Linked DNA regions of Callithrix jacchus. Each later gene encodes a partner of the first gene's protein in a complex. Links are inferred from orthologs where the notes say so. Each region holds a gene or a part of one and is shown in the gene's direction. Other genes may lie near its edges.

Region 1 (4,284 bases):
CAGATGCTGGTAGGTGGGGAGATGTCATTGTAGAAGAAGTCCTCCCTTCCTCCTTCCCAGATGTATCTCCTTCTAGCTATGTTGGAATGCAGTGGCAAGATTGCAGCTCACTGTAACCTCCAACTCCTGGGCTCAAGCAATCCTCCTATAACTGAGACTACAGAGGCACACCACTACGTCTCGCTAATTTTTAAAAAAATTTTATTAGAAATGGGGGTATGTTGCCCAGGCTGGTCTTGAACTCCTGGCCTCAAGCCATCCTTCCATCTTGGCCTCTGATTGCTTTTTCTAAATGAAGAAGCAAGCTGAGAGTGAGGATGAGGGAGGAGGCAATGAAAGTTACAGGAGTTACGAAATAAATACTCATTCAGAACAGTTTAAGTGGAGAAAGCAAATACAATGTGTTTGCTGGGCAGCATTATGGGCCCACTCAAGGTTCACAGTCTTGATGGAGTTACAGGGAGGCATGTCAGTATGGGTGTATAGTTTTATTTTTATTTATTTATTTTTGAGAGGAGTTTCGCTCTTGTTACCCAGGCTGGAGTGCAATGGCGCGATCTCGGCTCACCGCAACCTCCGTCTCCTGGGTTCAAGCAATTCTCCTGCCTCCGCCTCCCGAGTAGCTGGGACTACAGGCACGTACCACCATGCCCAGCTAATTTTTGTATTTTTAGTAGAGACGGGGGTTTCACCTTGTTGACCAGGATGGTCTCGATCTCTTGACCTCGTGATCCACCCGCCTCGGCCTCCCAAAGTGCTGGGATTATAGGCGTGAGCCACCGCGCCCGGCCCAACATCTTCTAAACACTGAGGACTATGGGCCTTTACTGTATTGACAGCCAAGTGCAAGATCATGGGTTGAATGAATGACAAAATGCCTTTCACGCATCCAAGTGAGTAGCACTCAGGAAACCTCAGCAGGTGGCAGCATCAAGGTTTAACTAATACATTACGTTTCATTATACAGGTATACACGAATACAGTCTCTTGGTGGGGGGAAAAGGCCAAAACCAAAGGCCTTTTCCTCACTACCCCTTCCTCACTCCACTATCCCAAGTGTCGCCGCTGAAGAGTGAAGGGAGGATCGGGCAGAGATTTACAGACGGACAGCCTGACCAAGTGAGAGATGACCGTGAACGCGGGATCCGGCCGTGCCTCTCCGGATCTCGCCCCTCCTGGGAGACTCGACCCGCGTTTTTGAAACCGAAACAAACCCGGCCCCGCCCCCTGCCCTGCAGCCGCCGAGAAAAGAGCACCGCCCTCTGGAGGCGTCCTAGCCGACCACTCGAAGGTTCCCACAGATAGAATCGGCCTCCCCGGCCCACTTCTCTTCTGGCTTCCTCGCTGCCCACCCTCATTCTCAGGGTGGAAGCCCCGCAACGAAAGGCCGGAACTGCCTTTCTGCTCGCAACTTGCCTCCTGCCCGCAGCTCTGCCGCCCCGCCCCCGGAAGTGACGCAGGCCGCGCGGACCTCCCTTTGTCCCGTCGGGCATCGCGGCGGCGGCGGGAAGATGGCGGCGGCGGGTTCGATAGATCGGAGCTTCGTGGAGCTAAGCGGAGCAGAGCGCGAAAGGCCGAGGCACTTTCGGGAATTCACAGTCTGCAGCATTGGTACGGGTTGCCAGGAACGGCGCGATCCGATCTGTCCCCTCGGGCTCCTCTCATGGGTCCCACGATCTGACTCCCTGGTTCATCCTCCTGAGTCCACATGCCTCTAGCCCCGGGATCAGAGATTCCTTGGCGTCTGATGTTTTCCTCTTCGTATGGGTTGTCAGTCTGTCACCCTCTGCTTTGTCAGCTCCCTTAGTCCCTGTCATTTCTCGGAGGACGCCTGTGCAGTCTGACCACGTTCATTTTGCAGGGACTGCAAATGCCGTGGCTGGCGCCGCAAAATACAGTGAGAGCGCGGGAGGCTTTTACTATGGAGAGAGTGGCAAGTTGTTCTCCATCACCAGAAACAGGTTCATTCATTGGTAAGTACTGTGGTTCTCTAGACTCCCCTGGCAAGGTAGAGTTTGGTGTATAAATTTTCATCGCTGTTCCCAGTGTTATTCTAGAAATGGTAATTGACATTTAGGGAAAGAGAAAGGTTGTTTTTTCAGTTCATATGAGAATCAGGGGACAACTGAGACACAGAGTTCTAGAAGAGGTACCCCCCACACACACACATATCAAATAACACTAAAAGCAGAGGATATGTAGCTTAGGGGATAAAGCCCATAAGACCGGTTTTAAACATGAACCCATTATGTTTTATTTACAGCTTTCTTCATTGTTCATATATGTTTGAGCTTCAGTAAGTCAGACATTGTGCTAGGTACCAGGATGAAATAAACAAAAACAACCACCATTTTCATCATGCAAGAAGTTGTAACAATGTCAGAGTAGATATGGATCCACTTTTCATGGAAGTTTTGTGGAGGAAAAAGACATTAAAACTAATGACCACAACACAGGTATATAAAAACAAGTTTTCTTTTTTTTTTTTTTTTTTTTTGAGACAGAGTTTCGCTCTTGTTACCCAGGCTGCAGTGCAGTGGCGCGATCTCGGCTCACCACAACCTCCACCTCCTGGGTTCAGGCAATTCTCCTGCCTCAGCCTCCTGAGTAGCTGGGATTACAGGCACGCACCACCATGCCCAGCTAATTTGTTGTATTTTTAGTAGAGACGGAGTTTCACCATGTTGACCAGGATGGTCTCGATCTCTTGACCTCGTGATCCACCCGCCTCAGCCTCCCAAAGTGCTGGGATTGCAGACTTGAGCCACTGTGCCAGGCCAAAAACAAGTTTTCATACTTGCCCTAGAGGAAAAATATCGGGGTATGAGAGGCTGAGAGGACCAAATGTAATTAGTGGGGCAGGGAAAGGCTTTAAGGAATTCACAGTTACCCTGAGATCTGAAGGACACGAGGTTAGCCAGGCAAGGGGAGCGGACAGAGAGCAGTCCGGCAAGTAGGATCACCATATGCAAAGGTCATAAGTGGCGAGAATTTGGCAGATTTGGAACTGAACAAAGATCTGTGTGGCTTAAGTGCAGTGGGTAGAACAGAAAGTGATGTGAGATACTGAGGTTGGTGAGGGAGGCAGGACTCTGATTATGAGGGACTCTTAGGCCATTTTTAAGGATTTTTGGATTTTATCCTAAGTACATTGAGTTATCATTGAAAGGTTTTTAAAGAGTAACATCAAAATTGCAATTTTGGATGGGAAGAGTTAACACTGGGGATTCCAAAAGTAGGGAGGGAGAGAAGCAAGAGTTGGAAAACCTATTGGGTACTGTGTTCAAAGCTTGGGCAGCGGGATCATTAGAAGCCCAAACCTTATGTATATAGGGATATACACACAGCAAACTCGTAACAAGCCTGCGCATGTATCCCTGAATCTAAATTTTTTCAGATGTATTTTTAGAAGATCTCAGTCTACTTTTGTGTGGAAGGTGGATTTGGATTAGATGGGTATAATAGGTATAATACAAAGAAAATTTTGCTCTTAGGATGACCTAAGTAAGAGTTGCTGGTGGCTCACTTGTGGGAATGACTAGAAACAGAAAAGTAGATGGACTCAAGATGCCTTTGGAAGATAGATTCACTAGGACTTGGTGGTGGATTGAATATGGGGTAAGGGATGGTAAATGAAAAGGAGAGAGCAGGACAACTCCCTGGTGTCTGATGTGACTAACCAGATATGAGTGGGGAGGGGTTGCCATTTACAGAGATAACATAGAAGATGGATTTTGGAAAGATATGAATAATTGTATCGAAAATAGTAAATCTGAAGTACCTGGGCAGCAGCCCTTTGAAAATGTCAAGTAGGCCTTGAAAGTTATACATCTAAGGCTCAAAAGAGAGACTTATATTAGAGATACAAATTTCGTTTAATTAAGAACTATTTTGGCTGGGTACAGTGCCTCACACCTGTAATCACAGCACTTTGGGGAACTGAGGTGGGAGGATCTCTTGAGGCCAGGAGTTCAAGACCCCATTTCTAAAAAAAAAAAAGTTTTGTTTGTTTTTTTTTTGAGAGACAGTCTGGTTCCATTGCCCAGGCTGGAGTACAGTGGTGCAATCACAGCTCACTGCAACCTTTGCCTCCTGGGTTCAAGTGACCCTCCCACCTAAGCCTCCCAAGTAGCTGGAATTACAGGTCTGCACCACCACGCCCAGCTAATTTTTGTGTTTGTTTTTGTAGAGATGGGGTTTTGCCTTATTGCCTGGGCTGATCTCAAACTGCTGGACCCCTTCTTGGCCTCCCAACTTGCTGGGATTACAGGAGTGAGCCACCAT
Region 2 (3,500 bases), on another chromosome or scaffold:
AACTTGGGCTCAACTATAAAGTAGGAATTTTGACGTTTGTTGATTTTTTTTTTTTCATTGATGACCAAGGTTTGCCTAGATTTCCTTTGGCCCTATCTGTGGTTTTGGAATTAAATCTGTAGGTAACTAAAAGACTTTTTCTTACATGTGCGGAAGCCCTCAAAACATGGTTTCTTGTAGGGGCAACTTGGTAGTACCCAGAGCCAAGGACTTGTACCCTGTGTAATGTTTGTGCTGAAGGAGATGCTTCCCAGCTACCATAAGTGGCGCTACAACTCTCATGGAGTGAGGGAACAGATTGGTAAGGACAGCATGGGCAGGGCAGATCTGGGGATTTCTGGCTCCAGGGAGAGCTTCTTTCTTTCCCTTTCTTGAGATAAGGGTCATTACACAAGGCCACATCATTCCTGTGTCTTTTTTGGAGTCCAGGTTGCCTGATCCTGGAGCTGATTCATGCGATACTGAACCTGTGCCACGAGACAGACCTGCACAGCAGGTAATAAGGGGTTGTGTGTGTGTGTGTGTGGGTGTGTGGGTGTGTGTGTACATACACATACAGTAACATGTTAATAATTCTTTATGATCTTTACAAAAGTTCATTCCTGACAAGATGCTCTTCCTATGTATCTACTTCCCAGAGCCAGTTACTATGTTTTCTCATTTTTTTCTTCTTTCTGTACTGACTATAACTTTCTTTCCATACCATTGCATATAAATGTCTTGTTTTAATGGTTCCATGCATTCCATCGTATTGATTAATCATGATGCTTTTCAGTAGCTGTGTCTGTTAATTGATGGACATTTAGATTGCCTCTTAGGGTAATCTTTAGGTGATCAAGTCTATTTCAGGAAAGTGATCAGAGTGCCTTCAGCTTGCAGAGAGCTGGTCTCCAGTGTCCAGTAGTTTAGATTTGCCACCCTAGCGCAACTGGACAATGCCCTTCCTTCCAAGATACACTGAATGGCTCCCCAGTAACTCAGAACACCTCTGTCTTCCAGTCACACTCCCAGCCTGCAGTCTCTCTGCATCTGCAGCCTGGCATACACAGAAGCAGGGCAGACAGTTATCAATATCATGGGCATTGGCGTGGACACCATTGACATGGTGATGGCTGCTCAGCCTCGAAGGTAGGGCTCCTTCTGACCTTCGGTTTGTTTGTCTTTATTGTGCCTGCATGTTTCTAATAACTCCAGTCTAAGTTAAAACTTGTAGTAGCTTTTAGAAGACGACATTGTTCTTCCTAGGACGTAGCCTTTATATACTCTAGTGGCTGCTGTATAGACTGGCATTTAGCAAAAGGAGTTGATTACTCCTCCTCTCTCCTAGTTTGTACTGGGGCCTCTAACAGAAGCTGTTGAACTCTGGGATTATTGTTGGAATCTAATTCATGAGAGCACATATGTTGCGAATGAAGTCATAGTGTCTGAATCAACTTTGGTTTCCATTTGGCACCCTAGTGATGGGTCAGAGGGCCAGGGGCAGGGCCAGCTGCTGATCAAGACAGTGAAACTGGCATTCTCCATCACCAACAACGTGATTCGGCTGAAACCTCCTTCTAATGTGGTGTCACCTCTGGAACAGGCCCTCTCACAACATGGTATGTATTTCTTTTCTAGTCAGTAACATTTCTGCCTATAAATACATATTTCAGTGTTTTGGGATGTCAATATTTTCTGCTTAACTTCTTGAGGAAATTTGGGAAGGATTACCAGCTCCTTTCCTGGAATTGTAAACAAAAGGACTAGATGGTACTTTATTTCTGCCTCCTAGTGATGATAGAATAATAGTTAAGGACGCAGATTTGAAGTCAGACTGCCATGGTTCAAATTTTGTGTCCAATCAACTGTGACTTTGGGTGCATTATTAAAGCACTCTGCTTCCAAATTCTCATCTATAAAATGGTGATAATGGTACAGGTTGAGTATCCTTATCTGAAATGCTTGGGACCAGAAGTGTTTTGGGTTTCAGATTTTTTTTTCATATCTTAGCATAGTTGCAGTATACTTAGCAGTTTAGCATAAATTCAGAATGTTCCATTGAGCTATAGTTGGACATATTGGCACATTCTAGGTTTTTAAAAATTTATTATTATTTTGTTTGTTTGAGACGGAGTCTAGCTCTGTTGTCCAGGCTGGAGTGCAGTGGCATGATCTTGGGTCACTGCAATGTCCGCCTCCTGAGTTCGTGTAAAGAAATTCTAATAACTTTGGCCATTAAATCTCTGTGACCTTACGCTGGTTTATTTAATCTCTTTGGGACCCAGTTTCCTCGTTTCCAATTAGGTGTCTGGATATGTTCAATACCCTTTCTGGTTGTGTAATTTGAGGATTTTAATGAGTTTTTTCATTTTAGTGCAATGCCTTTTTCCAAACTATTTGTTAAAAGCACCTATTTTAAGGGCTTGGTGTGGTGGCTCACATGTGCAATCCCAGCACTTTGGGAGGCAAAGGCGGGCAGATCACTTGAGGTCAGGGGTTCGAGACCAGCCTGGCCAACATGGTGAAACCCCGTCTTTACTAAAAGTACAAAAAATTAGCCAGGTGTTGTGGTGCACACCTATAATCCCAGCTACTTGGGAGGCTGAGGCAGGAGAATCGCTTGAACTTGGGAGGTAGAGTTGCAGTGAGCTGAGATTGTACCATGGCACTCCAGCCTGGGTGACAGAGCAAGACTCCATCTCGCGGGGCGGTGGGGGGGACTAAAATAAGCACCTATTTTGTCCAAAATGTATCTTTGCTATTGATGAATTGGATTGAGCTGTTGACCCCCAAATTCTGGGTATTCTTTTGCTCCTCAATAAAGAGAAGGATATAGCCTTCTGGGTTTGCTGTGGCCCTTCAAGCGCTTGAGGGTGAATTCATTCATATGTACAGTATGAGACTTTTTTGAACAGCCAGTGCTCTAAGGACTTCAATGAAGCACACTTGATATCTAAACTGTTTCCTGTGCTTCTTTAGGTGCTCATGGAAACAACCTCATTGCTGTTCTAGCCAAATACATCTACCACAAACATGACCCTGCTTTGCCACGTCTTGCTATTCAGCTGCTGAAACGTCTGGCCACGGTAGGATCCTACTTCGTGTACACATATTGTTTATATGAGGGTGTTTTTTTGCCTGATTATAAAAGACATGTTCAGGTCAGGTGCAGCAGCTCATGCCTGTCTGTGATTCCAGCACTTTGGGAGGCCAGGGTGGGAGGATCACTTGAGCCTAGAAGTTCAAGACCAGCCTGGGGCACATAGTGAGACCCCATCTCTAATATAGAAAGGAGAAAAAAAGGCATGCTAATTGCAAAATATTTATTTAAGTGTTACAAATAGATGTAACATAGCAAGTTAAGATGTCAGCCGGGCGTGGTGGCTCACGCCTGTAATCCCAGCACTTTGGGAGGTTGAGGCGGGTGGATCATGAGGTCAAGAGATCGAGACCATCCTGGTCAACCTGGTGAAACCCTGTCTCTACTAAAAATACAAAAAATTAGCTGGGCATGGTGGCAC
Region 3 (3,500 bases), on another chromosome or scaffold:
TGCTTTTTCCCCCCTTATTTAAAAACTGGAAAGAAAAGAAGATTCCAAATAGTGGTTAGCAATTGTTGCATTCAAATTTCTGTGAATATGAGTAAACTGAAGCTTTTTTGAAATCTTCATTTATCTCCTTGAGTACTTAACAGGGTAAAGGAGATGAATACTCCCTTTGTGGTCCATTTTAAGTCCTTAACTCTGTGTCTCTCCCACCTAATGCAAGCAGTTGGAGTTTTACAACACAGTCATACTTTCTAGTCATGAGGTCTAGAGAAGGTGGAGGAGCCAGGTCACATTTCACATGGCAGTTGACTGTCTTCAGGACTCCCTCGATCAATTCAGGCTCATGCTGGTGCTTTCTTCTGCCCAGCAAGTTCTATAGGCCCACAGGGCTGCTGTCTGGGGGTGTAGGTGCTGGTAGTTTTAGCACATATGGGCCGCTGGTGAGCACCTTCCGAGTTGGTTTTATCTCCTCTCCTCTTTCCCCAGGCGAGTCGCACTTTACAGTGAACCAACAGCCCTTCCTCTACTTCCAAGTCCTATTCCTGACAGCACAGTTTGAAGCTGCAATTGCCTTTCTTTTTCGCATGGAGCGGCTGCGCTGCCATGCTGTCCATGTGGCACTTGTGCTGTTTGAGCTGAAATTGCTTTTAAAGTCCTCCGGACAGAGTGCTCAGCTCCGTGAGTATTTGGGATTGGGTTGGCAGTAATGTAACCACAGCACATCCCTGGTGCCCCAAAACCACAACCAATAAGGATTTGAGCAAAGGATAGCAGTCATTTTAGAGCATTGTAGACAGCTGAGCATTTTAGATGATTAGTGTTAGGGTTCTTGCTTTCCCCCACATTAGTATTCCCTTGGAAGTTAACTATATAAAGTGCTGTTCAAAGTGCTAGCTTTGTGGCCAGTCTGATTGCCTGGAAAATAGTGCAGAAGAACAGTCCCTAGAGTCATGGGTCTGATTTCCATTAGGGCCCTTGCTTTAATGACATTGGAAACCCTAGCCAGCCATGTGCCTACCTGCCTGGGATGAGAGAGTCAGGGGAGACAGAGGAAGTAAATTGGATGCATGGCTGTGGGTTCCTTATTGGTGCAGCAAAATCAGCCCAGAGCACATGCTGTAATGGTCAGTTGGATTATCTTTTCATTCAAAGACCACGTATTAGTAATTTACGGCAAAGTGCTGTTTTCTCCACTCTGGGCCTGGAGAGGAATTGAGGATGGGGTGGTAAAAAGGACTGGCCAAAGCTTATATTGGCAAATATTGACTGGGCTGTAGGAGTAGACGCTGCTGGGTCTGCAGATTCAGCTTCCATAGTTTCTGGGTTGCATGGGTCAGTGGGGCAGTGTGGTGTGACCCACTCTGACCCCCACAATGCAGTCAGCCATGAGCCTGGTGACCCTCCTTGCATGCGGCGGCTGAACTTTGTGCGGCTCCTCATGCTCTACACCCGGAAGTTTGAGTCCACGGACCCAAGGGAAGCCCTTCAGTACTTCTATTTCCTCAGGTAACATTTGCTTTTGAACATTTATTTCAGCTAGTTTCGATTTCTGCCATTCTGAGAATGACTGTTAGAGACCTCATGTCCGGACTAGAAACTGAATTGTTTTTTTCCCTTACAGGGATGAGAAAGATAGTCAAGGAGAAAACATGTTTCTGCGCTGTGTGAGTGAGCTTGTGATTGAAAGCCGAGAGGTGAGTGGGTTTCCTTTTCTCTCCTCCCCATGGTTTTCAGTGTTCATGTTCCCATGCTAATTCCATACTGCATGTTTTCTTCAATATGGCTGTGGTGGATAAGGCCTAGAGGGTTTTTGGAATTTTCTTTGGTTTCTAACATTGAAAATATTTGTTTCAGTCACACTGATTTTTAGTTGCGTAAGACTTATCCCATTCATCCCATTGTATTACCCTCTTTTCTCTCTGAAGACTTATGGATTATGTTTATATCTTTGTCCAATAATTTGAGTAAAGTTTTTTTCCTTCCACAGTTCGATATGATTCTTGGGAAACTAGAGAATGATGGAAGTAGAAAGGTGGGTTAAATGCATCCTTAGAGAAATGTTTTTAGCCATTGGGAATTAATAAATACCAAAAGAATACACTTAGATTTTAAGATTTAAGGTATGAAAAATACAAATCTGAACAGAGTTACTTAATTTTTAAAGTTGAATGAAAATTATGGGCCCAGATTATTACCTTGGTTTTACACACACATATCTCCTTAAAATATGTAAATTTGTGATTAGATAGCTTTTTTACTGTGTTCAGAATATTCATTTGTTCATGCCTGTCGTTTTTTTGAGCTGAGAATGCTCTTATACATTTCTGTCATTCTTGGCTCAGAAAACATGCAAGAAAAACAAATTGATTACTGCACCCATTTTCCCAAGATGCAAAAGTTGCAAGTGCACCTGACTTCCTTCAAAATGCAATTTCCAAGGGTTTTGAACTCCACAGTGACTCCTGGAAGCCTGAGGGATCCCCAAGACTTACTTTGCCCATTGATTGTCATGGCAGGAGGGTCAAAGTTCCTGTTGTCAGAGACCAGTTCTGACCCTGAATCTCCCTCTGGTCTTTGGAAAGTCACTTGCCCCTCAGGGACTGACTTTTCTCATTTGTAAAAATGAGTAGTTTTGACCCAGCAATCTGTAGATGAGCTCACACTGCTCATACCACCTCCCTCAGAAGAAAGGCAAGTAACAGTGCTGATGACAGTGGCCAGGCTTATTGGGTGATGATAATCACCAGGCACTGTGCTGAGCACTTTGCATAAGTTTCTTTAACAGGCTGCACTGGGGCCAGGAGGATCCCAGTGTGTATGAGTTGACAGAGCCAGAAACATAGATAAGACCTTATTCCCTGGTGCTTCTAGAGTGGCAAGGCAAGTCACCTCAACCTGGTCCAGCTCTGAGAATCCGGTGCCAGTGGAGAAGCAGAATGGCCAGGCACAGATGTTATGCAGTTGCCTTCATTCTCCCAGGGTGCCTAAGGCCTCTCTCATGCTCTCCTGACCATTTAGTTGCTGTTGAGTGGTGATGGTGATTTTTTAAAGAAATGTCCTGTTACCACTTAAATTGTGTTTTTTCAGCACTGAGTTCCTTTTGCCATCTGTCTTAGAACACAAATCCAGAATCCTTCAGATATTTTCTCTGTGCCTCCTGATTTTTCTCCCTAGTCCCTACTCATCAGCAAATTTAAAATCATTGATTTTACCGACTCTCTGGGTCATTTTGGAAAATTAGAAAGCCCAGATGTCTTATTGCTGACTTCTCTGCGCTTCCAGTAAGTCTGCCCTTTCACATGTAGTTTCCTTGATCTCTTTTATAGTTTTAATAGGACTTTATATCTTCAAGAAAGCCAGAGTCTAGCTGATGAAATACATGCATTGCCCAGGGCAAGCATTTTTAGTTGAAGTATTTTTTGGATCCTAATTGTTTCTCTGTGTTTAAAATAATAGTTCTGTGCACCCATCTCTCTCTTCCTCTCCCTCCATAATTTGTTTTG
Region 4 (3,500 bases), on another chromosome or scaffold:
ACCTTATTTTATACCTGGAGCTTCCTAAATGATTTCTCTACCTCTAGTTCACCTTGTATACTACCATTGAATTTAGATAGTTTAAAAATTCTTTCACCATTGCTCATAAATTGTTCATTGCTCATAAATCTTTACTATTAATGACTTTTCATTACACACTACTTAAAGTTCAGATTTCTTTGCTTTCTATTGAATGTTCTCTACACTTTTGCCACCAACTCCTTTTTTTCATTAGCTAATTGCTTTCTTCCACCTGAACTCTTCTAATTCAGGTAATGTAAACTGCTCTGTTCACTGTCCTTCAAACCTTCATTTCAGTATCCCTTTTAATACCAGTCATCCTTCCCAAATGCCCTAGTGCTCCTCTTCATCTATCATTCAAGGAACAACTTGAATCTTTCCAAATAAGACTTCTGTAATCAGTAATATGTCTCCTTCCTTGTTACTAGCAACAAAATCTCTCTTTTTCCCCTCTAAACTCAGGGTCCTTAGCCCTAACATTTACATGATAACTAATCATGGAGAGACTGGTGATAATTCTTATTTTAATATTTTATCTCTTCTGTCATATAACTGTTTAATATTTATGCCATGCCTTCTCATTTTGGTTGTTAATCCCTTGAGAACAAATAACAATCAAATTATCTGTGCAGTATGTTAGTGCATTTTATATAGTAAAATTTGTAAACACTTGTTACTTTGTCATATAAAAATGCAATTTATAAATGAAAAAACAATTTCAATACTGAAGAACAATTACACTGTTACTTTGCTATTTTAGAGAGATAAAAGATACAAAAGAGTTATATTTTACTGATTTGGTGTTATCTCTTAAGATGTAAAAACTTAAGAATTAGAAATTTTTTAGTAAAGAATGCTTCATAATTTGCTTTTCCCTTTTAATCCAAAAGGTGGCAATGAGAGCCTTGGGGTTTGATGTAAAAAAAGCTGATGTACTGAAGATTCTTAAAGATTATGACAGAGAAGCCACAGGGAAAATCACCTTTGAAGATTTTAATGAAGTTGGTGTGTATTTTAATAGTCTTTGTAATCAGCAGCTGTTAGGAAATTGTCTGATTAATATCAGTTTTTTTATTTTAAATTCTCTAGGTTATGGAATTTTCTTATAGAACACTGGTGTATAATGTGACTCTTACTCAGTTTTGTTTGTTTGTTTTTAACTTTTATTTTCAGAGAAATATTTATGGCTTTGCTCTGAGATTCGTAGTTTTGTTTTGTTCTGAATATTCTAACCAGGGAACTATTGTGTAGCTGTTTATGGAAAGATGCTTTTCCAAGTTATGTGTATTTATATTATGTGATAAAACTCGAAGGGTGATCAAAAAATTATTTTTATTTAGTAAAACAGAAAATTTGATATCCTGCTATTTGGAAGATGTTTCCCAAGATCTTTCTGGTATGTGATTTTTGTTGGCTAAGTGGGACAAGGGGGAACTGGTAGTTGGTATCTTTAGCTGTAGATGAAATTCATGACTTCAGGTTGACAAAGTTGATAAGAGGCTACATCCTCTGGATAACCTTTATCTCAGTGGAAAAAGCTATCTATTTAGAGTTAGGATTGGGGAAAGGGTTGTAGTAAAGGAGGCAGTGGGCATACCGGAAGCAGGAGAAAACATCCTAGAACCACCAACTGAAGATAATGCGTCATAGGCTTAATATGGTTAAATTTTTATATAGTTGATTTTAGTAAATTATTTTTAGCATATATAGACTAGGTTTTTTTCAAAATAGAAGATTCTGGAAGGCAAGGACTTTGCTATTATGACCTAAATACATATAGCCCAGAATATTATCTACAAAATGTATAAATATTCAGTTTTATTTCTATTATTTTTTTTCTCAACCAGTGGGTCGTGATATAAGCACATCATATAAATATTTTAAGATATTTAAAAAATTTGGAAACTGTTACGTACACAAACTACTTATTTTAAATATTCATCAAGAAGCAATATGGGAAGCAAAAAGAAATGGCATTTAGTAGACACAGAGAAAGTTTATATTCATGTCATTAGTCAGGTTTTTTTTAAATCCAAAAGCTCACGTCAAGAGCAGTTGAGATGGAGAAGAAATGATAAACCTAATAGAAAAAGAAAAAACCACAACATAGAAGATACTCAACTTCGGAATTAATATATGACTGTTTAGAAAAGCTACTTGTCCATGTAGGGAGCATTTTCTTTTTATCCTCTAATTTATAGAATTACTTATTTGAGGAGAGGGAGAGAGCCACCTTTTGTTCTCTCAGAACGGACACTCTCCTGAGGTTTATGATCACAGTATTCCTAGTTTTTACCTTAGATTGTTTATTTGTAGAAACAAGGTATACAGTGGAAATGACTATTAGGGAGGAGCTATAATTCAGGTATGTTTAGTACAGTATAGTGGTTTAGCACTTGGAACCAGATTCCCTAGGTTCATACCTTGGTTTTGCCACTTTATAGCTCTGGAACTTGGTCATTTTAATACTCTGTGCTTCATTTTCAACTATAAAGCAGGGATCATTGTACTCTCTCATAAAATTCTTGTGAGGATTAAATAAGTTAATGTTATGTAAAGTACTTAGAAAAGGCCTAGCATGTTGTAAGTGCTACTAAACATTTGCTATTATTATTTTAAAAAAATTGTCTTTGTTTCAGGGGCTTGAAATAATCACATATGTATCACTGGGACATAAAATATACTCTTTGTATATTTTTTATTGATCTTTTTCATAAAGTCTATTTTAAGCACTATATCATCATTAATAATTTTACAAAATATTTTATCTTAAATGAATACAGTTTAAAAGTTGTGATTTTTATTGGCATTTGGGACCAGAATCCCATGCCACCTTCACTTTTTCCTGACACCTATCTGTTCTATGTTATTAACAAAGCAGAAATGCTGGATTCCTTGTAGAATAAATAGGTGGGGCAAAACTTCAGCTTTGACACTCAAAGATTAACCTTTTGTCAACACTTATCTTAGCAATTTTAAGGCTACCTATGGAGAAGTACCAGGTGTCAAATAAAAGTTTATTACTGTTTGGGAATCAGTCAGTCAAGAACTATGTATTCCCACTTTTGTTTGTTATTTTTAATTAATGACTGACCACAGATTAATATGTTTTATACTTTGGGACAAATGATTCTAATTCAGAACATTTGAGTCCTAGTTTTATGAACTACCTAAGGATACTGTTCCAAAATATATCTGGATGAATTTGGCACTTAACTACTATAGATTCTTCCTACTGAAAAAAAGCGTTAAAATATATTTAATTTTAGTTTAGAGTCAAGACAACCTGAGACTAGTGAGTAACAGATGCTTTAGGAATGACTTTCTTTAAGACCAACGTAAGTCAAACGTTTGTATGCTCTTTTTGACATGTACTACTTATTACTGCCGTTTCAGATAATAATACTGTATTATTGTCTTCATTTTGCTTATTTAACACTGAATTTTTTGTTAGGTACTGTACTGGGATTGGGAAGAAG
Region 5 (3,500 bases), on another chromosome or scaffold:
CTTCTGTTTCCAAGTTCTTTGGCTGGAGAGACTCTGGGAAGTTTTTCAGGACTGCGGGTTGGTCAAGCAGATGATTCTACAAAGCCAACCAATAAGGCTTCATCCACAAGCCTAACTAGTACCCAGCCAAACAAGACGTCAGGCATGCCTTCAGGGTTTAATTTTACTGGCCCCTCAGTGTTAGGGAAGCTCTCAGAGCCCCCTGTGACCTCCTCTGCAACCACCACCACAGTAGCACCACCAGCAGCTACCAGCACGAGCACTTCCTCAACTGGCATTTTTGGCAGTCTGCCAGTCACCAGTGCAGGATCCTCTGGGGTAATCAGTTTTGGTGGGACATCTCTAAGTGGTGGCAAGACTAGTTTTTCATTTGGAAGCCAGCAGACCAATAGCACAGTGCCCCCATCTGCCCCACTGTCAACTACAGCTGCCACTCCCCTTCCAACATCATTTCCCACATTGTCATTCAGTAGCCTCCTGAGTTCAGCAACTACTCCCTCCCTGCCTATGTCCTCTGGCAGAAGCACAGAAGAGGCCACTTTATCAGCTTTGCCTGAGAAGCCAAGTGACAGTGAGGTGTCAGCATCAACAGCCTCACTTCTAGAGGAGCAGCAGTCAGCCCAGCTTCCCCAGGCTCCTCTGCAAACTTCCGACTCTATTAAAAAAGAACCTGTTCTTGCCCAGCCTGCAGTCAGCAACTCTGGCACTGCAGCATCTAGTACCGGTCTTGTAGCCCCTGCAGAGGCTACTCCAGCCACCACTGGGGGCCCTGATGTCAGGACGGAGTCAGTACCACCTGCCTCCACCTTTTCCGTGCCTGGGCAGACTACTGTCACAGCAGCTGCTATCTCAAGTGCAGGCCCTGTGGCTGTAGAAACATCAAGTGCCCCCATAGCCTCCAGCACCACACCCATTGTTGCTCCGGGTCCAGCTGCAGAGGCAGCGGCGTTTGGTACTGTCACTTCTGGCTCATCAGTCTTTGCTCAGCCCCCTGCTGCCAGTTCTAGCTCAGCTTTCAGCCAGCTCACCAACAACACAGCCACTGCCCCCTCTGCCACGCCCGTGTTTGGTCAGGTGGCAGCCAGCACTGCACCCAGCCTGTTTGGGCAGCAGACGGGAAGTGTAGTCAGCACAGCGGCTGCCACACCACAGGTCAGCAGCTCAGGGTTTAGCAGTCCAGCTTTTGGCACATCAGCCCCAGGGGTCTTTGGACAGACAACTTTCGGGCAGGCCCCAGCCTTTGGGCAGTCAGCGAGCAGCGCTGCAAGTGGCTTTTCCTTCAGTCAACCTGGGTTCAGTTCTGTGCCTGCCTTTGGTCAGCCTGCTTCCTCTACCCCCACATCCACCAGTGGAAGTGTCTTTGGTGCCTCCTCAAGTACCAGTAGCTCCAGTTCCTTTTCATTTGGACAGTCATCTACCAATACAGGAGGGGGGCTGTTTGGCCAAAGCAACCCTCCTGCTTTTGGGCAGAGTCCTGGCTTTGGACAAGGAGGCTCTGTATTTGGTGGTACCTCAGCTGCCACCACAACAGCAGCATCCTCTGGGTTCAGCTTTTGTCAAGCTTCAGGTAAGAATTTGTGGAAGATTTTTACTTTGTTTCCCTCTCTGCTATTCGAAACATTAGCAACAGACCCATATTACTTTTGTAATTAAAAGAAAGGGGAGACTCAGAACCCAAAAATAATTTGTAGGTTAAGGAAGGCAGCGTGGAGCACATGCGGTGTCAGGAACTTGTTTGCCTAATTGACTGGATCTGTTACAGTTTAACGCAGCTCCAGTCTTGCTTCTTAACAAGTTGTCGCCTGCTAGCTACCAGAATGACAGTTTCGTGGGGAAAAAACAAGCATCTTTAGTTTAAGGTCCTGGCAAGTAATTTAATGACTGATAGATAGGAATTTTCAAATTTGGAAGGCACTTTAGAGGTCATTATGCCCAAAACCATCAAGTGTCAAGGAGACTGCGCTCATGTCAGGTAGCGCTAGTAGAACCAGCGGGAGAGTCCAAGGGACATCATAGTCCACCTCTCTGCCAGGGTTTTCTGTCCCCTCTAACACCATCTTTCTTACTGTAATGGCAGATACTAACATTTAATTTGGGGTTTTTTCCTTTTTTCAATGTTGTGACTTTTTGTAAAAACTACAGTTTACTGTTTTTGGCAGTGAATTTCTTCACTATTGCATTTTCCATTTTAGCAGCTGCTTTTACTTCCAAAAGTTATCAATAGGCAAGGCAATTTTAAAATCTGTCCTGAGATTTGCTTTCTGATAGTTACCTTATGAAAGGCAATTCTTCAGCAATAGACTCTGGGAGAAAAGTAAGGATCAATGATTTCATGGTGGGCAAGATTACTAGTAACTGCTAATTCATTATTCAGTGAAACTTGAAAATGGTTCATAATTTATTAGAAAGGAAATGTTTTCCTTTCTTCCTTCAACAAATGGTTGTTATATTTATTACTAAATTCAGCTATAAAGACACAGTGTCGAAAAGACAGACACGACTTTGAGACCCACCCAATGCCCTGTGAAGAGGCCATGGACCACTGAATGATGGGAAATGTGCCAATTTGGTCCAGAGAATGGGGAACAAGAAGGCCCTGAGAGTCTCTTAAAAGAGAGGAGGACATTTAACACAGTCCCTATCTCTACTGCGCCATTTGTTCTGCAGTCAGAACTTGAGAAGACCTCATGCACAGGCATGGTCATGCTATTTCAACAGATTCAGAACCCATGAAGGAATCTTCTTCTTTCATTTAGTAACTGTGTGGAAAGGTATCTGAGCTGTCTACTTCAGCCCTGGTTGAGGAATTGAGTCTTGTCCAAGCTCACCTACCCAATCAGTGACAGAGATGAGAACTGAAGCCGGGTGTGATGGCTTACGCCTCTAATCCCAGCACTTTGGGAGGCCTAGGTGGGCCAATCACTTGAGGTCAGGAGTTTGAGACCAGCCTGGCCAACATGGTAAAACCCCATCTCAAAATTCAAAAATTAGCCAGGTGTGGTGGCAGCACCTGTAATCCCAGCTACTTGGGAGGCTGACGCAGGAGAATCGCTTGAACCTGGGAGGCAGAAGTTGCAGTGAGCTGAGATCACGATACTGCACTCCAGCCTGGGTGATAGAGTGGGACTCTGTCTCAAAAGAAAAAAGAAAAAGAAATGAGAATAGAACTCCTGCCTTCTCACTCCTTGTCTGGAGCTCATTTGTTCAACTCAGCACTTCAACCATGTTATGCCATCTGGAAGAAAGATAAACTACCCTGAAAGAATGTGTTGTTTGAGATTCAAAAGAAACCAAGGAGTAGAAATATTTGTAGTATTAAGTCAGCCCTTAGAATTTCTGATCACTGAAAGTAAGCTATTCTTAGCCCCCATCCACTTCGGGGTTTGGTAGGAGAGATGGATTCAGTCCTCAGAACTTTAGAACTTAAACTATTTTAAAATGTTAGCAATGGAAAGGGGTCTTTAAAGTATTTTCTCAGAATCTTCTCCACTTCCTAGATG
Region 6 (3,500 bases), on another chromosome or scaffold:
CTCAGTATTCTTGGGGGATTGGTTCCAGGACCCCCACATATAACAAAATCTGTGTATACTCATGTCCACAGTTGGCTCTGCACAATTTGCATGTACAAAAAGTTGGCCTTCCATATTTGCAGATTTCACATCCAGATAATACTACATTTTCTATATAAGTCGAGTTGAAAAATATTTGTGCGTAAGAGGAGCTGCACAGTTCAAACCCATGTTGTTCAAAGCTCTGCTGTACTTTGAACAACAGGTATTCTTATGATAATACTCCAGGTATTCTTATGATAATGTAAGCTAAAGAAAACATTACTAAGAAAATCATAAGGGCTAGGCATGGTGGCTCATACCTGTAATCCCAACACTTTGGGAGGCAGAGGCTGGAGAATTGCTTGGGTCCAGAAGTTTGCGATTAGCTGGGCAACATAGGGAGATCCCTCTCTCTACTACAAAAAATTATTTAAAATTAACCAGGCACAGTGATTCACATCTGTAAACCCAGCTACTTGGGAGGCTGAGGGAAGAAGATTGAGTGAGCCCATAAGATGGAGGTTGCATTGAACTATGATCTCACCACACTGCCCTCCAGCTGGGTGAGAGTGAGACCATCTCAAAAAAAAAAAAAAAAAAACAATCAGGCCGGGCATGGTGGCTTGCACCTGTAATCCCAGCACTTTGGGAAGCCAAGGTGGGTGAGTCCAGGAGTTCAAGACTAGCCTGGGCAATAGTGAGAGCCTGTCTTCTTTTTTAAAAAGGTTAGAAAATTAATAAATAACTTCTAAAAATTAAAAAATTAATAAATAAAAATCATAAGGAAGAGAAACTACATTTATAGTACTATACTATATCTGTTAATATTGTAAGTTTATGCTGTCTGTTTACAGGATGAATTGTCTGTCTGAAATGGACAAGTAATTCTCCTGCCTCAGCCTCTCGAGCAGCTGGGATTACAGGCATGTGCCACCATGCCTGGATAAATTTTGTATTTTTAGTAGAGATGGGATTTTTGTCTTGTTCTCCAGGCTGGTCTCAAACTCTGGTCTCATGTGATCTGCCTGCCTCAGCCTCCCAAAGTGCTGGGATTCCAGGTGTGAGCTACCAGGCCCGACCTCAAGTGACACTTCTGTCTTAGCCTCCCAAAGTGCTGGAATTACAGGCACAAGCCACCATACCCAGCCAATTTTTCAATATATTTATTGAAAAAAAGTCCACATATAAGTGAACCCACACAGTTCAAACCTATGCTGTTTAAGGGCCAACTGCACTCACTTTTTAGAATTTAAAATTATTCTGGGCTGGACACAGGGGCCCATGCCAGTAATCCCAGCACTTCAGGAGGCCAAGGTGGGCAGATCACTTGAGCCCAGGAGTTTGAGACCAGCCTGGGCAGCATAGTGAAAAGCCATCTCTACTAAAAAAATACAAAAAATCGGCTGGGTGCGGTGGCTCATGCCTATAATCCCAGCACTTTGGGAGGCCGAGGAGGGTGGATCACAAGGTCAAGAGATCGAGACCATCCTGGTCAACATGGTGAAACCCCGTCTCTACTAAAAATACAAAAATTAGCTGGGCATGGTGGCACGCACCTGTAGTCCCAGCTACTCGGGAGGCTGAGGCAGGAGAATTGCTTGAACCCAGGAGGCAGAGGTTGTGGTGAGCCGAGATTGCGCCATTGCACTCCAGCCTGGGTAACAAGAGCGAAACTCTGTCTCAAAAAAAAAACCAAAAAGTACAAAAAATCATCAGGGCATGGTGGCATATGCCTGTAGTCCCACCTACTTGGGAGGCTAAGGTGGGAGGATCACCTGAACCCGGGGTGCAGAGGTTTCAGTGAACCATGATCGTGCCACTACACCCCAGCCTGAGTGACAAGAGTGAGACCCTGTCTCAAATAAACAAACATAAAATGAAATTATGTTTAGCAACAGAAATCCATATCTGTATGAATCTCTCCTGAATATATTTGAGATTTTGAAGTAAACTTTTTTATTACTGATATACTTTGATCTTTTTCTGTTTTTTAGCTTTTAATAAGTGAGAAACATACAAATCTCATAGCATTTTATACCTGTCATTTGCCTCAAGACCTAGCTGTTGCCCAGTATGCTTTATTTTTGGAAAGTGTTACAGAATTTGAGCAGCGCCACCATTGCTTGGAGTTGGCTAAAGAAGCAGGTAAAAATGGTTGAAAACTTTGTCCATTGACCTTTGTAGGCAAATACTCATTTTGACTATAGTAATATTTGTCCTAGTTTTAAATCTTATTTCTTTTTAGGGGAAAAAAGTAATAAAATTTTCAGGGAATTTCTGTTTTAGGACTAATGTTACTTATGCTGTAACTCATATGTAAAATATCTTTTAGTTTTGGCATTTTCTTTTATATAAATATCTTTTATATTTTACATATTTCATTTTTAAGGATTATTGTTCCAAATTTACCAAATCATTGTGACTGTTTAGAGAATATTAGTATCAATGATTAATCTTTATTTTTTGTCTCTTCAAAAAATAATTTAGATTTGGATGTTGCAACAATAACAAAAACTGTAGTTGAGAATATTCGAAAGAAAGATAACAGTGAATTTAGTCATCATGACCTGGCCCCAGCCCTAGATACTGGCACTACTGAGGTAATTTAGAATGGGGGGGCAAAGGTGTTGTGTAACTTCTAATAATCTTTTATGTTATTCCTTGGTGAATTTCTCCCTTCGTAAAAGAAATTCTATGTTAGTTTTTCTTTTTTAAGAATGTTTCTTCGTCAGCCCATACATGTTAAACTACAAAAATTGGCAGCAAATTTTAAGTCTTATGTAAAGGATTACTTGTAGTATGTTAAAGGAAGCTTCTTTAATAGAAAGAAATCTTATGTAAAGGATTACTTGTAGTATATTAAAGGAAGCTTCTTTAATAGAAAAAAAAGATCTCAGCTTTGGTTTGTTGCTCATCAGGTTATTTTAAATATTTGTTAATCACTAACTTATGTAGCTTGCTTACTCGTATTTTCAGAAAGGAATAGAAAGTTATGTCTAAGAAAACTATTTTAGAGTAACATTTAAAGGAATCACATGGTTAAGTTGGTGAGACATACAATATATAGTTCCAAATTAATAATCCAGTAAATTTTTTCTATAATTTATTTTTATTTATTTATTTATTTTGAGGCAAGGTCTGGCTCTGTTACCAAGGCTGGAGTGCAGTGCCGCTATCTTGGCTCACTACACCTTTGCCTTCCAGACACAAGCCATCTTCCCTTAGTCTCCCGAATAGCTGGGGCTACAGGCGTGTGCCACCATGCCTGGCTACTTTTTTATATTTTATGTAGAGACAGGGTTTTGCTGTGTTGCCCAGGCTGGTCTTGAACTCATAAGCTCAAGAGATCTGCTTGCCTCGGCCTCCCAAAGTGCTAGGATTACAGATGTGAGCCACCATGTGTGGCAGTATTTTCTATGATTTAATAGAGAGCTGTGAAATATGAAAATACACTAAGAAAAGTTAGATGTTATCATAAT
Region 7 (3,423 bases), about 44 Mb from region 1:
TAGCAATTGGCCGGGCATGGTGGTATGTGCCTGTAATTTCAGCTACTCAGTAGGCTGAGGCAGGAGTATTGCTTGAGCCCAGGAGGTTGAGGCTGCAGTGAGCCATGATCATACCACTGCACTCCAGCCTGGGTAATAGAGGGAGATTCTGTCTTAAAAGCAAAAATATTTGACTGCATATCAAGAGGTCCTCGGTTCAAATCCGGGTGCCCCCTAAAAATAAATAAATAAAATGAAATGAAAAAAAAAAAGAATATTTGGGGCCAGGCATGGTGGCTCACGCCTATAATCCCAGCACTTTGGGAGGCCAAGATGAGCAGATCACTTGAGCTCAGTAGTTTGAGACCAGGTTGGGCAACGTGGTGAAATCCCATCTCCACCAAAAATACAAAAAATTATCCGGGCATAGTGGCACACACCTGTGGTTTCAGCTATTTGGGAGGCTGAGGTGGGAAGGAGGATCACTTGAGCCTGAGAGGCAGAGGTTGCATTGAGCTGAGATGGCACCACTGCACTCCAGCCTGAATGAGAGTGAGATTCCAACTAAAAAACACAAAAAGCATTTGTGATTCATGGAAGGATGTCAAAATATCAACATTAAATGACAGGCGTATGGAAGACGTTGAATCCGGCCCTCATGGATGACTTTGAAAGGTTCAAGACTTTAGTGGGAGAAATATCACAGATGTGATGGAAACAGCAAGATAACTAGAAGTGGGCCCTGAAGATGTGACTGAACTGGTGTCACTCATGAGGAATTGCTTTATATAGACAAGCAAAGAAAGTGGTTTCTTGAGATTGAATTTGTTCCTGGTGAAGATGCTGTGAACATTGTTGAAATGCCAGCAAAGGATTTGGAATATTATTTAAGCCTAGTTGATAAAGCAGCAGCTGGGTTTGAGAGAACTGACTTCCGTTTCTAAAGAAGTTCCACTGTAGGTAAAATGCAATCAAACAGCATGCCGTGCTACAAGGGAAATCATTCATAAAAGGAAGAGTCAATTGATATGGCAAACTTCACTGTTACCTTGTTTTAAGAAATTAGCATAGCCATCCCATCCTTCAGCAACCAACACCCTGATCAGTCAGCAGCCATCAGCATCAAGGCAAGACCCTCCACCAGCAAAAAGATGGCATGCTGAAGGCTCAAGTGATTGTTAACATTTTTAGCAATAAAATATTTTTTAATTAAGGTATGTATGTTGGTTTTTAGACATAATGCTATCATTGCACACTTAATAGACAACAGAAGTATACTATAAACATAACCAAACAATCAAAAAATTTATGTGACTTTATTACGATACTTGCTTTATCGTGGTGTTCTGAAATGGAACCCACAGTATCTCTGAGGTATGCCTGTATGCGCTTTTAATTCTGAAGTCCAACATTATTTCTCCTTGCTTTCTGTCTTCCTGCCATGTCTTCTGTACTTTTAGAAACCGTGCACTTGTGCAGACATTGTTCTCAATATTTTGTTTCTTCAGATGCCATCATTAATGAGAAATATGACTACCTGAAGGGGTTCTTGGAAGACTTGGCACCTCCAGAGCGCAGCAGCCTAATTCAGGATTGGGAAACATCTGGACTTGTTTACCTGGACTACATTAGAGTCATTGACATGCTCCACCGTATACAGCAGGTACCTGAGATCCTGAAATTGCTGCCTGATTTTCCTTTTCTCAGGCCCTTCCATCTTTAGAGCCCTCACAAGGCCTTAGTATATACTTGAGAACGCATTGGCAGACATATTACTGTAAAAGCAGGCAGGACATCTTGCTGAGGCTCATTTGATATAACCATTTTGACAGCTGTATTGAAACTTAAAAATGCTTTTTTTTTTTTTTTTTTTTAAATATATAAGATGGGGTTTCACTATATTGGTCAGGCTGGTCTCTAACTCCCAACCTCAGATGATCTGCCCACCTTGGCCTCCCAGAGTTCTGGGATTACAGGTGTGAGCCACCGTGCCCAGCCCTAAAAACGCTTTTTTATGTTTATTAACAACTAGTATGTGCAATAGACATTCCTGAGGCTTGTCCATAGACAGTCCCTTTCCCTTGTTCAGCCCTAGTTTGAGTGAAAAACCCAAAGATGAGAGATTAAGAATGAAGATTCGATGAGGATCATTGTTTCACACATTATTTGGCATGTTTTAAAATAGCAAAATAGTTAATTTGGCAGGTTTTAAAGTTGCAAAATGGTTAAGTCTTTATTAAAATGTCTTGGGTCAGTTTTTTTTTGTTGTTTTTTTTTTTATTGAAACAGAGTCTTGCTCTGTCACCCAGGCTTAAGTGATTCTTACGCCTCAGCCTCCCAAGTAGCTGGGACTATAGTGGTGTGCCACCACACCCAGCTAATTTTTGTATTTTTAGTAGAAACAGTGTTTTACCACATTGGCCAAGCTGGTCTTGAACTCCTGGCCTCAAATCATCAGCCCGCCTTGGCCTCCCAAAGTGCTGGGTGTATGCATGAGCTACTGCACCCAGCCTTAAGGTCAGTCTTTGTAGTCATAAAATGGGTCTCCACCGCTTGCTTATGGTACAAAAACCAAACTCATTTTAATAAATATAGGATTTAAGTCCTTTTTGAGGCCTTTACCTTTCCAGCCTTACTCCTACCACTCATTTCACATTCCAGCCTTGCTGCCCTGCTGTACTCACACTAAATTACTTCTGGTGTTTCTAACAAACCATATTATGTTCCACACTTTACCTAGCACACTTAAACCCATCCTTTAACATCTAGGTTGCTGTTAGCCCTACTTCTCCCTCCTTTTCCCCCAGAGATAATTAATTGCACTTTCTTACTACCAAGATACTTAGTGCATTTTTCTACCGTCAGACCATGTTGTAGTTACTTGTTCACATTTCCAGGTTGCCATAAGCCCCTTATGGAGAAATCTTTTAAGGTTAGAGGCAGTAAAGTATAGGAATTAACAGCTCAAGTTCTAGAATTAGACTCATAATTTCAATTCATGGCTTCCAAATTCACTGGCTGTGCAATCTTGTGCAAGTTAACCACCCCCTTTGTCTCGTCTGAAAGAAAAAAGTGGGTGGGGTAGACAGTGGTACAGATTATAGCTCATATCTGATAGATTTTCACAAAGGTTAAACAAAATATACTCAAAGTGTTTAGCATAGTGCCTTTCATGTACTAAATACCTTTTTTTTTTTTTTAAGGCAGAGTTTTGCTCTGTCACCCAGGTTGGAGTGCAGTGGCATAATCTCAGCTGACTGCATCTTCCATTTTCCATCTCCCAGCTTCAAACAATTCTCCTGCCTCAGCCTCCCCAGTAGCTGGGATTACAGGTGTGTGCCACCACACCCAACTAATTTTTATTTTTAGTAGAGACGGGGTTTCACCATGTTGGCCAGAGTGGTCTCAAACTCCTGACCTCAAATGATCCACCCACCTTGGCCT

What was found.
Region 2: NUP160 (region 1) and NUP188 share a complex: the UniProt entries of both Homo sapiens proteins name them as parts of the nuclear pore complex. The link is inferred for Callithrix jacchus from reciprocal best matches to the Homo sapiens genes NUP160 and NUP188.
Region 3: NUP160 (region 1) and NUP93 share a complex: the UniProt entries of both Homo sapiens proteins name them as parts of the nuclear pore complex. The link is inferred for Callithrix jacchus from reciprocal best matches to the Homo sapiens genes NUP160 and NUP93.
Region 4: NUP160 (region 1) and CETN3 share a complex: the UniProt entries of both Homo sapiens proteins name them as parts of the nuclear pore complex. The link is inferred for Callithrix jacchus from reciprocal best matches to the Homo sapiens genes NUP160 and CETN3.
Region 5: NUP160 (region 1) and NUP214 share a complex: the UniProt entries of both Homo sapiens proteins name them as parts of the nuclear pore complex. The link is inferred for Callithrix jacchus from reciprocal best matches to the Homo sapiens genes NUP160 and NUP214.
Region 6: NUP160 (region 1) and NUP107 share a complex: the UniProt entries of both Homo sapiens proteins name them as parts of the nuclear pore complex. The link is inferred for Callithrix jacchus from reciprocal best matches to the Homo sapiens genes NUP160 and NUP107.
Region 7: NUP160 (region 1) and NUP98 share a complex: the UniProt entries of both Homo sapiens proteins name them as parts of the nuclear pore complex. The link is inferred for Callithrix jacchus from reciprocal best matches to the Homo sapiens genes NUP160 and NUP98.

Annotation. Positions count from the first base shown.
Region 1 is NC_133511.1:112,905,990-112,910,273, reverse strand, and holds the start of NUP160 (nuclear pore complex protein Nup160), read left to right. Parts: upstream 1-1,484; 5' UTR 1,485-1,511; coding exon 1,512-1,611; intron 1,612-1,861; coding exon 1,862-1,973; intron 1,974-2,263; exon of another isoform or gene 2,264-2,456; intron 2,457-4,284. UniProt on the Homo sapiens protein: Functions as a component of the nuclear pore complex (NPC). Involved in poly(A)+ RNA transport.
Region 2 is NC_133502.1:177,568,838-177,572,337, forward strand, and holds part of NUP188 (nucleoporin NUP188), read left to right. Parts: intron 1-180; coding exon 181-301; intron 302-429; coding exon 430-496; intron 497-999; coding exon 1,000-1,128; intron 1,129-1,458; coding exon 1,459-1,598; intron 1,599-2,958; coding exon 2,959-3,065; intron 3,066-3,500. UniProt on the Homo sapiens protein: Component of the nuclear pore complex (NPC), a complex required for the trafficking across the nuclear envelope. Required for proper protein transport into the nucleus.
Region 3 is NC_133521.1:14,711,607-14,715,106, forward strand, and holds part of NUP93 (nuclear pore complex protein Nup93), read left to right. Parts: intron 1-483; coding exon 484-675; intron 676-1,376; coding exon 1,377-1,503; intron 1,504-1,618; coding exon 1,619-1,691; intron 1,692-1,984; coding exon 1,985-2,029; intron 2,030-3,500. UniProt on the Homo sapiens protein: Plays a role in the nuclear pore complex (NPC) assembly and/or maintenance. May anchor nucleoporins, but not NUP153 and TPR, to the NPC. During renal development, regulates podocyte migration and proliferation through SMAD4 signaling.
Region 4 is NC_133503.1:120,379,172-120,382,671, forward strand, and holds part of CETN3 (centrin-3), read left to right. Parts: intron 1-911; coding exon 912-1,026; intron 1,027-3,500. UniProt on the Homo sapiens protein: Plays a fundamental role in microtubule-organizing center structure and function. As a component of the TREX-2 complex, involved in the export of mRNAs to the cytoplasm through the nuclear pores.
Region 5 is NC_133502.1:179,850,767-179,854,266, forward strand, and holds part of NUP214 (nuclear pore complex protein Nup214), read left to right. Parts: coding exon 1-1,567; intron 1,568-3,500. UniProt on the Homo sapiens protein: Part of the nuclear pore complex. Has a critical role in nucleocytoplasmic transport.
Region 6 is NC_133510.1:50,419,531-50,423,030, reverse strand, and holds part of NUP107 (nuclear pore complex protein Nup107), read left to right. Parts: intron 1-2,015; coding exon 2,016-2,166; intron 2,167-2,508; coding exon 2,509-2,621; intron 2,622-3,500. UniProt on the Homo sapiens protein: Plays a role in the nuclear pore complex (NPC) assembly and/or maintenance. Required for the assembly of peripheral proteins into the NPC. May anchor NUP62 to the NPC. Involved in nephrogenesis.
Region 7 is NC_133511.1:69,112,007-69,115,429, reverse strand, and holds part of NUP98 (nuclear pore complex protein Nup98-Nup96), read left to right. Parts: intron 1-1,487; coding exon 1,488-1,642; intron 1,643-3,423. UniProt on the Homo sapiens protein: Plays a role in the nuclear pore complex (NPC) assembly and/or maintenance. NUP98 and NUP96 are involved in the bidirectional transport across the NPC. May anchor NUP153 and TPR to the NPC.